Linked DNA regions of Danio rerio. The protein of the gene in region 1 interacts with the protein of each later gene in a pairwise test. Links are inferred from orthologs where the notes say so. Each region holds a gene or a part of one and is shown in the gene's direction. Other genes may lie near its edges.

Evidence for each region.
Region 2: the proteins of hoxa1a (region 1) and fam221a interact in binary tests that used the Homo sapiens proteins (3 or more experiments, as listed by UniProt). The link is inferred for Danio rerio from reciprocal best matches to the Homo sapiens genes HOXA1 and FAM221A.
Region 3: the proteins of hoxa1a (region 1) and slit1b interact in binary tests that used the Homo sapiens proteins (3 or more experiments, as listed by UniProt). The link is inferred for Danio rerio from reciprocal best matches to the Homo sapiens genes HOXA1 and SLIT1.

Annotation. Positions count from the first base shown.
Region 1 is NC_133194.1:22,044,266-22,047,545, forward strand, and holds hoxa1a (homeobox protein Hox-A1a), read left to right. Parts: upstream 1-1,441; 5' UTR 1,442-1,537; coding exon 1,538-2,177; intron 2,178-2,372; coding exon 2,373-2,722; 3' UTR 2,723-2,744; downstream 2,745-3,280. UniProt on the Homo sapiens protein: Sequence-specific transcription factor. Regulates multiple developmental processes including brainstem, inner and outer ear, abducens nerve and cardiovascular development and morphogenesis as well as cognition and behavior.
Region 2 is NC_133194.1:22,559,675-22,563,839, reverse strand, and holds the start of fam221a (protein FAM221A), read left to right. Parts: upstream 1-1,364; 5' UTR 1,365-1,439; coding exon 1,440-1,504; intron 1,505-1,590; coding exon 1,591-1,705; coding exon of another isoform or gene 1,706-1,706; intron 1,707-4,024; coding exon 4,025-4,083; intron 4,084-4,155; coding exon 4,156-4,165.
Region 3 is NC_133197.1:36,949,780-36,953,865, reverse strand, and holds the start of slit1b (slit homolog 1b), read left to right. Parts: upstream 1-1,174; 5' UTR 1,175-1,297; coding exon 1,298-1,485; intron 1,486-4,086. UniProt on the Homo sapiens protein: Thought to act as molecular guidance cue in cellular migration, and function appears to be mediated by interaction with roundabout homolog receptors.

The DNA of each region.
Region 1 (3,280 bases):
CCAGACAATCAGTGTCTGTGAAAATCTGCCCAAATACGTATTTCATTCACCGCTTATCAATATAACGATTTTGGATTCAGCGCAACCCACGTGGACGGATAATAATAATTAATCTTTTTATTGGCGTTTTACACCCCGTCATTAGGATTACACAAAACACTCATACAACATATTTCACTGCACGTCCTCCCCAATTTGTCTTAGTCTTTTTGCTTTTTGTCCTGATTGAAATAACGTTACAAATGTTTATAATGTCTTTATTGAAGATGTTTTAAAATGCTTTTTTTCGTATGAATAAACAAATATTTAATCAACTACAATAGTTTTTATTTTTAGATATTTTTCCCCACATCTAACAGAGTGAACATTTGGCCACTAAGTGGTTCTACAGTTTTTATAAACTATGACTCCATTTCATTTAAGTACATTACACTTTATATTTATGCTGTTATTTTTTCTTGCCTTATTTGTCAGGCTTGTTGCTGTAAAAAAAATAGTGGCATAAGAAATACTAGGCCGTAGTAAGCTTGTGTAAAGCGCCATTTTGAAAAAAGAAAAAAGGTATAAAAATGTCCAATTTCCTCCAGAGGGGGCGCGTGTCTCCTCTGCTCCACATAGGATTGTGGATAAAATACATCGTCTTCCCTGTGATTATTGATCAGTCTGTGAATACTAATCACAAAATAGCATTCAGCAAAAACAGAAATCCCGCTAATGTATTTATTTCAACATGTAAGTTCTTAGTTCCAAGTAAGTTCCAAGTCCTTAGTTCCTTGCTGCTTAATGTTGACAGTTAGCATACATAGACATAGGCTAAATAGCTTATAGCAGTAATAAATATACAGTGGGCTACAGCCAATGTTTTTATCAAGTAGCTAAGCCTAACGTATTAAAAAACAACAAATATAACTGTGCTGGCTACACCGAAAAAATAACAATACGATGAGTGGTAGTCAGTTTATCATTTTTATACACTTACTAAGTTGACGAAAGCCGATACACTAGAGCCTATAGCTGATAGGATATTGCTACCCGAATTGTGAACCAGAAAAAGATACTAACTTTACATAATTTCTTTGTGGTTTTGAGATCATCTTACCTGAAGCATTTCTTTAAAAAAAATCCACACACCGAGAAGCTGATGCTGCCGGGACGCTGTCTGTGAGACAACGTCCCTCTTAGCGTATCTGCCAGCGAATCTATCCTTTCAGCAGAAGTAAAGGTGGGCCTACGTAACGTTGATGGACAAGAGGTCGGCATTTGCATAAGCCTGGTCTTTAACGACAACCTGTCAGTGCAAGGCCACTTAAGATCAAGATGAGACAGCACAACTGATCACTGGCTGACCCAGCCCACGTGACTGTCACTGGTCATTCATATCACTAGCGCCCGAACACCTCCAATCCACGACTGATTGAAGGAGGCAGAAGGGTGCCTCGGCTCAACCCAGGGTGAATGGTGCGACGTTAATCAGTTCCGGGCCCAAAGTTCTGTCAGTGTGGCAACCACGAGCTGAGACGCCCAAGAAGATGACACAATGAGCACATTCTTAGATTTTTCGTCCATAAGTGGTGGTGGAGATGGAGGTAGCGGGGGCTCGTGCTCAGTCAGGGCGTTCCACGGTGATCACGGACTTTCAACATTCCAATCGTCGTGTGCTGTTAGGTTAAATAGCTGCAGTGGAGATGAACGGTTCATGTCCAATATATCGTCACAAGATGTAATTAACTCTCAGCCACAACAGGCCGGCTCGTACCAGTCCCCCGGGACTTTGTCAATTACCTACAGCGCCCATCCAAGTTATGGAACTCAAAGTTTTTGCACTGGATACAATCACTATGCCCTAAATCAGGACGTGGAATCGTCTGTGAGCTTTCCCCAGTGTGGCCCGTTAGTTTACTCTGGAAATATTTCTTCCACTGTTGTGCAGCACCGTCATCATCGTCATGGTTACAGTAGCGGAAACGTTCACCTCCATGGCCAGTTCCAGTACGGCTCAGCCACATATGGTAATAGTTCGGATCAGGCAAACCTTACGTTTGTGGCGGGCTGCTCAAATCCGCTTTCCCCTCTGCATGTGCCTCATCATGATGCTTGTTGTTCACCTCTATCAGATGGCGTGCCCACGGGACAGACATTTGACTGGATGAAGGTTAAACGCAACCCGCCAAAAACAGGTGAGTGACTTAAATTTTACAAGTCGTAATTATTTTTTCTCCCGATACGGAATACAAGTCCTGACTTAATATTGCATGTCCAACACTGGTTACATAAACATCTGAAGAAACCTAAGATATGGGACTTGACATAACAATATAGCCTAGTATGCATACACACATTCATTTATTCTTCTTTTCATTCTCTCTCTTAAGGAAAAGCTGGGGAGTATGGATTTGGTGGGCAGCCAAACACTGTACGCACCAATTTTTCGACAAAACAGCTGACAGAGCTTGAAAAGGAGTTTCATTTCAATAAGTACTTGACTCGCGCAAGGCGCGTGGAGATCGCGGCTTCTCTCCAATTGAATGAGACTCAGGTGAAGATATGGTTTCAAAATCGCCGTATGAAACAAAAGAAGCGCGAAAAGGAAGGTCTTTTGCCGAAATCTTTGTCCGAACAGAAAGATGGTCTCGAAAAAACAGAGGATGCATCTGAAAAGTCGCCCTCTGCACCATCCACGCCCTCTCCTTCACCAACTGTTGAGGCATACTCCTCTAATTAAACAGCTTTCACATTTGTTCTTTCAAATTGTAAACAATAATGCAAAATTGTTTGTGACTTGTCTTATGGTTATTTGTACATCATGTTTTAACATAAGTGGAAGAGTGTTTTAGCGACCAACCGTTTCTAACTCGACCATTTTGATCACTCATTGTTTATCTGTGCACTATTTATGTTAATGTGAAATAACTGTTAATTGTCTTGGGCACTTTGTCAAGCACCTGGATAGAAAGAAGTGGCTTGTGCATTTTTGTGCACAGTAATAACAAATGCTGCACTTTTACGCGCGTCTTAGTTTGAACTTGTAAACCACTTGTCAAAATGTCTACCTCAAGAACCGAAGGAAATAGTGCAATATATTTAGGGGATGCATTACTAGTGAATCTGTTAAATCTTTCGGGAAATAGTGTCTGTAATTGACAAATTCTCTGGACGATGCAAAGTGTTGTTAATTCTTGTGTTGTGAGTTTTGCAGCATACGCAATTGTCTGAAGTTGTTCTCCGGTGATGCTGAGTTTTATCAGTCGGAATTAAAGTTTCCTTTAATTTAGAAATGCGT
Region 2 (4,165 bases), about 520 kb from region 1:
GATGTTATCATAGCAATAATGATATTGTTTTGACAAAACAAGGTTAACCTAGTAATTTAAAAACATGTCTAGTACATTGGGCAAGCAGAACACGCAAATATAGCTTCATGCCATGCATGTACTCAGTTTCGGTTTATGTTTTTCACTCCAAGTCTGCAGACTGTTAATCAGCTAAACGAAATCGACTGTTTAACTACTGAACATGCTTATCGCTTTAAGACAAGGCCGGGTGTGAAAAGCATTAAACAGCTGGAGCAGCCAGATGAAGCCGCTCCAGTAATGTAGCTAAAACAGAATTTACCTTCAATGTATTGGTCAAGGTGACAGATTAGTTGACTCCAAAACTGTTGTCATCTTAGACCGTTCAGAAAGCAACCACAGCAAGCTTGCGTTGACAATCTGTAATATTAAAACAATATTCAAACATGATCATAACTCCAAGAAAGGCGTCTCTGTATCAACTAAGACACGAATCGTTTTACATCTAAAGCGCATTTAAATAAATACTGGAGCAGCATTCGAAGCCGCATAATGTAGCGAAACTGAGAACCACACGTTATACTGAAAAATCTTCAGTATTTCCCTGCGTAACAAGACGTTATTGCGTGAGACGTCACGTTACCCTAGGGATGTCCGGTTTGTGAATGAACTGCTCTTTCGAGTCGAATCTTTCGAATGAACCAATTCCCAAAATTGATTCTTTTGAGTTAAACTGAACAGAACTGAACAGTTCTTTAGTACACTGAACGAACAGAATCCGTTCACACATCATTTGACCGAAATGCGAATAAAGAATCTTGAAATATGCGTATTAACTTAAATATATTATTCGAGTTTATCAAAAATAATGTTATTTAAAGAGCAAAGTTATGTTATAAGGAGGATGTAGATTGAATGCACTAACTGACTGTTAATACCAAATATTGTTTATGGGGTAGCAATTCACGTCATTTATATTAAAACGTGAAGCAGTATAGAAATTTAGAGAGTTTCGACATTTTATATGGCTACGTTTTAATTAGAAGATTTTAAGGACACAAAATATTTGATGTTCCAAAGCACAACAAACACAGCAACATAGAATCACTGAATCGTTTGTAAAATAGTTTTTGAACCGATTCTGATTGAGTCTGATCACTCACTTTCTATCACGCGCTCACGTAAAATTTGTAGGCAGTATGGGAAATGTAGTTCGTATATTCAAGTTTAGCTAGGACGCAATTAAATCGTTCAGAATATGAAGTGAGTATTCTAAATTCGAGTTTTTCCACGTATTTATAGAGTTTTGTTCTTGATATAAATTTAAAGTACGTAAGGAGAACGGCGACGACTGATCGTTGCCTAGAAACACAGACGCAAAGTCCAAACAAGCCGCAGCATTTTCAACAATTGTTTATGTCAACAGATAAAACAGCAAAATAGACTCATAAGTTAGTAAAATGGCAAAGATTCACATCGACAAACTCGCAGCCAATTCAGTGGAGGCTTATTTAGAATACAAAAGGTGAGTTTGTTTGTAAAAATCCTGAATTTTTTTTTTCTAAAGATGACTTTGTAATTATTTTTCAACGATCTTTATTCTTTGCAAAGGATTGTTGGGGAAGATGATGGAGGAAGGCTGTTTTCGGAGGACGAGTACAAGAAATACAAAGAGACAGTGGTGCCAGGAAGAATACAGAACCGCCTTTATGTCAGTTTTGGCGTCCAGGTGTTCCGGAGAATTCAGTTCCCCCTGTTCCCCCCTTCACAGCGCATGCGCTAATTCTCAGTAATGACGTCATGCTTTCGCTTCGCTAGTGAATCAATTCGTGTTGGTTTTGAAAATAAAAATTAATAAAAATCGTGTTGGTTTTGCTGTATTAACAAGCCTAATGTTGGTTGCATTAAACATTTTTTATTATATTTAGTAATTGTAATTTTTGCATGCACTCATTAATTGTTTTGTTGTTAATGTGTGCGTGATGTGCGTGTTTTTCTTTCAAACAAGCATTGTCTTTCAAATAAGCCTTGTCGAGAAAAATAGCACTGCAAAATTAGTGTCTCTTGTTTTAGGTAAGTCACAATGATGCTTGTAATGTTTAAAAATTGCATAGACTGTTAATGCAAATATTTGTCACTTATCTGCATATGAAAACACAAGAGAATAGATTTTCTGTAAGCAATGGAAGTTTCCTGGATTAAAAAACAAAACAACAATACAATGACGTCTTTTTAATCTAATAATTGTCTCCAACAGTTTTCATCTGCAGAAAGGGCTTTTAAACAACAATTATGGATACAGCACAGAAAACAGATAAAAGATAGGCTCAAATTTTTTTTTTTTTTTTTTTTACTTTTTTACTATCTATAAAGGGGTGTTACCATTGAAAAGGCATGGGAATTTTTTACATTGCCCAAAGAAGTGTTAACTCCTATATATTACCTTTTGTGGGTTTGAAAGGCACTACAATGATGCTGGTGACATTTTTTTAATGGTATAATTATGTCTAAACTCTTATATGTTCAGATAAGTGTATTTACAGTGATTTATGTTATTTTTGTGGACTACACAATGACCATATGCATTCACCTGCTTGGGTAAATGGGTACTTTTTTATTTTTAACAATTTTTGTACCTTTGGTTCTTGTTAAATTGACAAAAGCTGTTAAACATTATTTTAATGATGAGGCAATTGTGGGTAATTACCCTGCATGATCTTTCAGATTGCCTGTGATTGATCACCAGTCATGTGTTGGCAGAATAGGGCTGTGCGATATTGAAAAAACAAAATAAAACTAATATTGCAATATTTCGTTGGTCTGCCTTATATATTGTGATATAAATACAATTTCACCAGATTGGTTAAATAGCTCTGTTAGAAAATAATTCATTATTTTACATTGATTGGCATGATTTTGTAGGGGACTGGTTGAATCATGCATAAAACAATTTACAAGCATATAAAAACAGGGCAAAGACAAAACTGCTGAGATAAACAGTGTGTTTTTTTTTTTTTTTTTTTTTGGAGCATTCAGTACAGAAATTGAATAATCAAATGTAAAATAACACTAGTCTTCTTTATATAAAAAAATAAGTACAATTAATATTTGTTTAAGATATAAAAGTTATAATTTCTTGTGCCTGAATGTATTAAACTTTTTGAAATCACATGCAAATAATACTTTTTTTATTTAATTTTGGTTAAAATCTGCAGCTACTCCACAAATCACATGTACTCTGAACTCCTGTGCTGTTCAACATTGCAGATGTGACTACTGCAGATGGGCACATTGCAATATTAATGCTGATAAGATATATTGTACAGCCTATAATGAAGAATATCATTGCTTAGCTTGCTTTAAACACTTGAAAATGTGCACAAATTTTTGGTTGGTTCGTTTTAAAAGATTTTAGCTTTTTTTGCTAGTTTATGTATATAATAAATATATAAATATTCAAATAGTAAACTAATTTAATGTATCATCCTTTTAATTTACGCCTACTTATGTTTTTTTTTTAGTATAACAAAATTGTTAGATTTAAATCTGATGTTAAAAAGGCATTGTATATTGTGTTTTCCAATCCTCAGAAGGTAACACAATTTCCTCTGCTTCGGGAAAATCCGTACTCCTGTGTTTTTAATGTAAAGTCACTTTCTGAAGATACATGACAAGCTACGTAAATATGTCTTTCAAAACGACACAAGTATCACTGTGATTTATCTGAAATAAAACACACTATAATTTGTGCAGTGTAGTATGGTTTATTTTTTTCGACAAGGCAAACTGTTTGAAAGAAACAAGCGAACGCGTGCTAAAAACAGGAACAATACCATAGACACGTGTGTCTATGCAAATAATTACAAAATTTTATAAACTCTGTGACAAAATAAACACTGGGCTTACGAAAATACAGCAAAACAACCATGAACTGTTTCAGTTCGCGAAGTGAATTCATGACGTCATGATTTGCGTACATGGAATCAGCCGTAAGTTGCGCATGCGCTGTGAATGGGGGAACAGGGGAACTGAATTCTCCGGAACACCGGGACAGATAGATTGCAAAGTTATTGGACCTGAGACAACTTGCTTCTGTACACACAGGTATTACTAGAATCACACTGATGAACACACGCATACATAAAATAATCTTCGTTGTTTCTGTTTTATTCTCAGGTATAAACAG
Region 3 (4,086 bases), on another chromosome or scaffold:
GCATTTGTCCCTGTGTATTTGTGAGTGTGTGTGTGTGTGTTTTTTACTCTTCCTCTGAGTGTGTGTGTTGTGTCTGTGTGCATGTGTGTGTGAGTAAGTTGTAAGTGTCTTTGTGTCTCTGTGTGTTTTTCTCTTCCTGTGTGTGTGTGTGTGTGTGTGAGTGAGTTGTTAGTGTGTATTTGTTTCTGTGTGTGTATATGTGAGTGTGTGTCTGTGTGTGTTTCTCTTTCTGTGAATGTGTGTGGTGTGTGTGAGTTGTGTGCATTTGTCTCTGTGTATGTGTGTGTGTGTGTGTGTGTGTGTGTGTGAGAGTGAGTGATTTGAAAGTGTGTGTTTGTTCCTCTTTCTGTGAGTGTTTATGGTGTTTCTGTATGCATGTGTGTGTGTGTGTGTGTGTGTGTGTGAGTGAGTTGTGTGTATTTGTTTCTGTGTGTGTGTGTGTGTGTGTGTGTGTGTGTGTGTGTGTATGTGTGAGTGAGTTGCGTGTATTTGTTTCTGTATGTCTGTGTGTGTGTGTGTGTATGTGTGAGTGAGTTGTGTGTATTTGTTTCTGTGTGTCTGTGTGTGTGTGTGTGTGTGTGTGTGTGTGTATGTGTGAGTGAGTTGTGTGTATTTGTTTCTGTATGTCTGTGTGTGTGTGTGTGTGTGTGAGTGAGTTGTGTGTATTTGTTTCTGTGTGTGTGTGTATGTGTGAGTGAGTTGTGTGTATTTCTTTCTGTGTGTCTGTGTGTGTGTGTGTGTGTCTGTGTGTGTGTGTGTGTGTGTGTGTGAGTGATTTGAAAGTGTGTGTTTGTTCCTCTTTCTGTGAGTGTTTGTGGTTTGTCTGTATGCATGTGTGTGTGTGTGTGTGTGTGTGTGTGAGTTGTGTGTATTTGTCTCTGTGTGTGTATACAGTAGATGAGTGTGTATGTGTATCTGCATGTGTGTTCTCTGTGTGTGTGCTTTTCTTTCTCTGTGTGTGTGTCCCCTCTCTCTGTGTGTGCGTGTGTGCGTGTGTGTGTGTGTGTGTGTGTGTGTGTGCTGAGGGGAGGAGTCAGATCAGTGATGTTCAGATGTAGTGATGGATGATTTTCCCTCTCTGTGAATGAGAGAGAGAGAGAGCACACGTGTGGGAGATCCAGCCTCCCTCTCTCTCTCTCTCTCTCTCCTACACACATACACACAGCTTTACCCTGGAGAAGGGGAACCACGGCACAAAGAGCACACAAACACACACACACAGGACAGAGATCTCCTGCGTCCTCTCCTGTCCTGCAGTTTATGTGTGTCCCGCAGTGTCCGCTGTGGGCTTTTGGAGATGCCGGACACCGAGCGCTCGCGTCCCAGCTCTGGACTGTGGATTTGGGCTCTGCTGCTGTCTCTGTTCCTCTCGGGACGCTCTGGAGCCTGTCCTCCTCACTGCTCCTGCACCGGATCCACTGTGGACTGCCATGGACTTGCCTTTAAAAGCGTCCCGCGAAACATCCCCAAAACCACGGAGCGCCTGTGAGTACCGCAAGGAGCGTTTGTGTCCTTATACGTCACTCCATGTGCGTGTGTTTGTGAATGGAGAAGGCTGCGTGTTTTGGCTTTAAAGGGATAGTTCACTCAGAAATGTAAATGTAAAGCGCAAAAGAAGATATTTCAAAGAATGTTGGAAACCGTGTTTCGGGTTTAAAGGGATAGTTCACCCAAAAATGTTCATTCGGTCATTTTTTATTCACCGTTTCAGACCTTTAAGAGTTTTTTTCCTCTGTTGAAGGTGAAAGAAGATATTTCAAAGAATGTTGGAAACCGGTAACCATTGGCTTCCATTGTTTTTGTATTTTTGCTTTACTATGGAAGTCAATGGTTACAGGTTTTTGGCTTACGACAAAAGAAAATATTTTGAAGAATTTTGGAAACTGTTAACAATTTCCATCGTGTTTGTATTTTTGTTTTACTCTGGAAGTCAATGGTTACAGGTTTTCTGCTTGCTTTTAAAAATATCTTCTTTTGCGTTCGAAGGCTGCATTATTTTGGGATTAAAGGGATATGTCACTTATTAATTCTGTCATTATTTACTCACGGTTTACTAGCTTTAGGCTTTTATGAGTTTTTTTTCTGTTGAAGGCAAAAGAAGATATTTTGAAGAATGTTGGAAACCTGTAACCATTGACTTCCATTGTATTTGTATTTTTGCTTCACTCTGAAAGTCAATGGTTGCATGTTTTTGGCTTAGAACAAAAAAAGATATTTCAAAGAATGTTGAAAACCGGTAACTATTGATTTTCATTGTATTTGTATTTTTGTTTTACTGTGGAAGTCAATGGTTACAGTTTTTCTGCTTGCTTTTAAAAATATCTTATTTTGCGTTTGAAGGCTGTGTTTTGGGTTTAAAGGGATAGTTCACTCATAAGTTCTGTCATTATTTCCTAACTGTTTATTTGCTTTAGACTTTTATGATTATTTTTCTGTTGAAGGCAGAAGAAGATACTTTGAAGAATGTTAAAAAACCTGTAACCATTGACTTCCATTGTATTTGTATTTTTATTTTACTATGGAAGTCAATGGTTACAGGTTTTGCTTCAAAATATCTTCTATTGCATTTGAAGGCTGTGTGTTTTGGCTTTAAAGGCATAGGTCACTCATAAATTCTGTCATTATTCACTCACGGTTTACTCTTTTCAGACCTTTATGAGTTTCTTTCATCTGTTGAAGGCAAGAAAAGATATTTCAAAGAATGTTGGAAACCGGTAACCATTGACTTACATAGTATTTGTTTTCACTACTATGGAAGCCAATAGTTACAAGTTTTTTGGCTTTCTTCAAAATATCTTCTATTGTGTTTTTAAGACTGTGTTTTGGCTTTAAAGGGATGGTTCACTCATAAATTCTGTCATTATTTATTAAAATAAAAAAATTCAAAGGGGGCTAATAATTCTGACTTCAACTGTATTTTAATGTTGTGTATTATTTAGCTTTAAAAGCTTGTGCTTTAGGTGTTTGAGAGTCTAAAATACACAAAAGTTGTGTCCAACAAGTTAAGGAAGTAGGAAATACTATTGAAAACATGTAAAAACATTTAAGCGCTATTATAAAATTAACTGAAAAGGGATGTATATGTACAATAAATCAGTATCTTATTGACTGTCAGCCAGTGGGAAAGTTATTTTAGTGATATTGATTTAATAATTGTTGTATTTAGATCATGTTGCAGCCATGTTTCAGTTAGTTGTTTTAATAACACTGTTAAACATTAGCTTTAATGAAATAAAATCAATAGCCATGATTAGTACTGTAGCTTGTAGTTTTGCGAAGCCCAAGTTCCCTTGTTTATTTCATTTTTCAATTCATTCATTCATCTTGCTTCGATGTAATCCTTTTTTTTCCATCATGGGTGCCACAGCGGAATGAACCGCCAGCTTATCCAGCATTTGCTTTACACAGTGGATGCCCTTCAATTTATTGTTTTAAATATATAATAAATTGCGTCATGGTGGCGCAGTGGGTAACACGATCGCCTCACAGCAAGAAGCTTGCTGGTTCGAGTCCCTTGATGGATAGATGGAACAAATGATGGATGGATGGAACAAATGACGGATGCATTGATGGAAGGATAGATGGATGGATAAAACAATGGATGGATGGAAGAAATGATGGATGGATATTTAGAACAATGATGTATGGAAGAAATGATGGATGGATGGATAAATAGACGGTTGAATGAATGAATGAAACAATTGACGGATGGATGGATGGAAGGATAAATAGATGGTTGGATGGATGGAACAAACAACGGATGGATGGATGGGTGGATGGATGGATAGAATGATGGATGGATGGAACAAATGACGGGTTGATGGATAAATAGATGGTTGGATTGAACAAATGATGGATGGATGGATGGATGGATGGAACAAATGATAGAAAGATGGATGGATGGAGCATATGATGGATGAATGGATAGAACAAATATATGGATGAAATAAATGACAGATAGATGGATTAATGGATAGAATAAATGGATGGAACAAATAACAAACAGATGGATGGATGGAACAAATGAGATGGTTAGATGGATGGAACATTTGATTGATTAATGGATGGATGATAGAATGATAAATG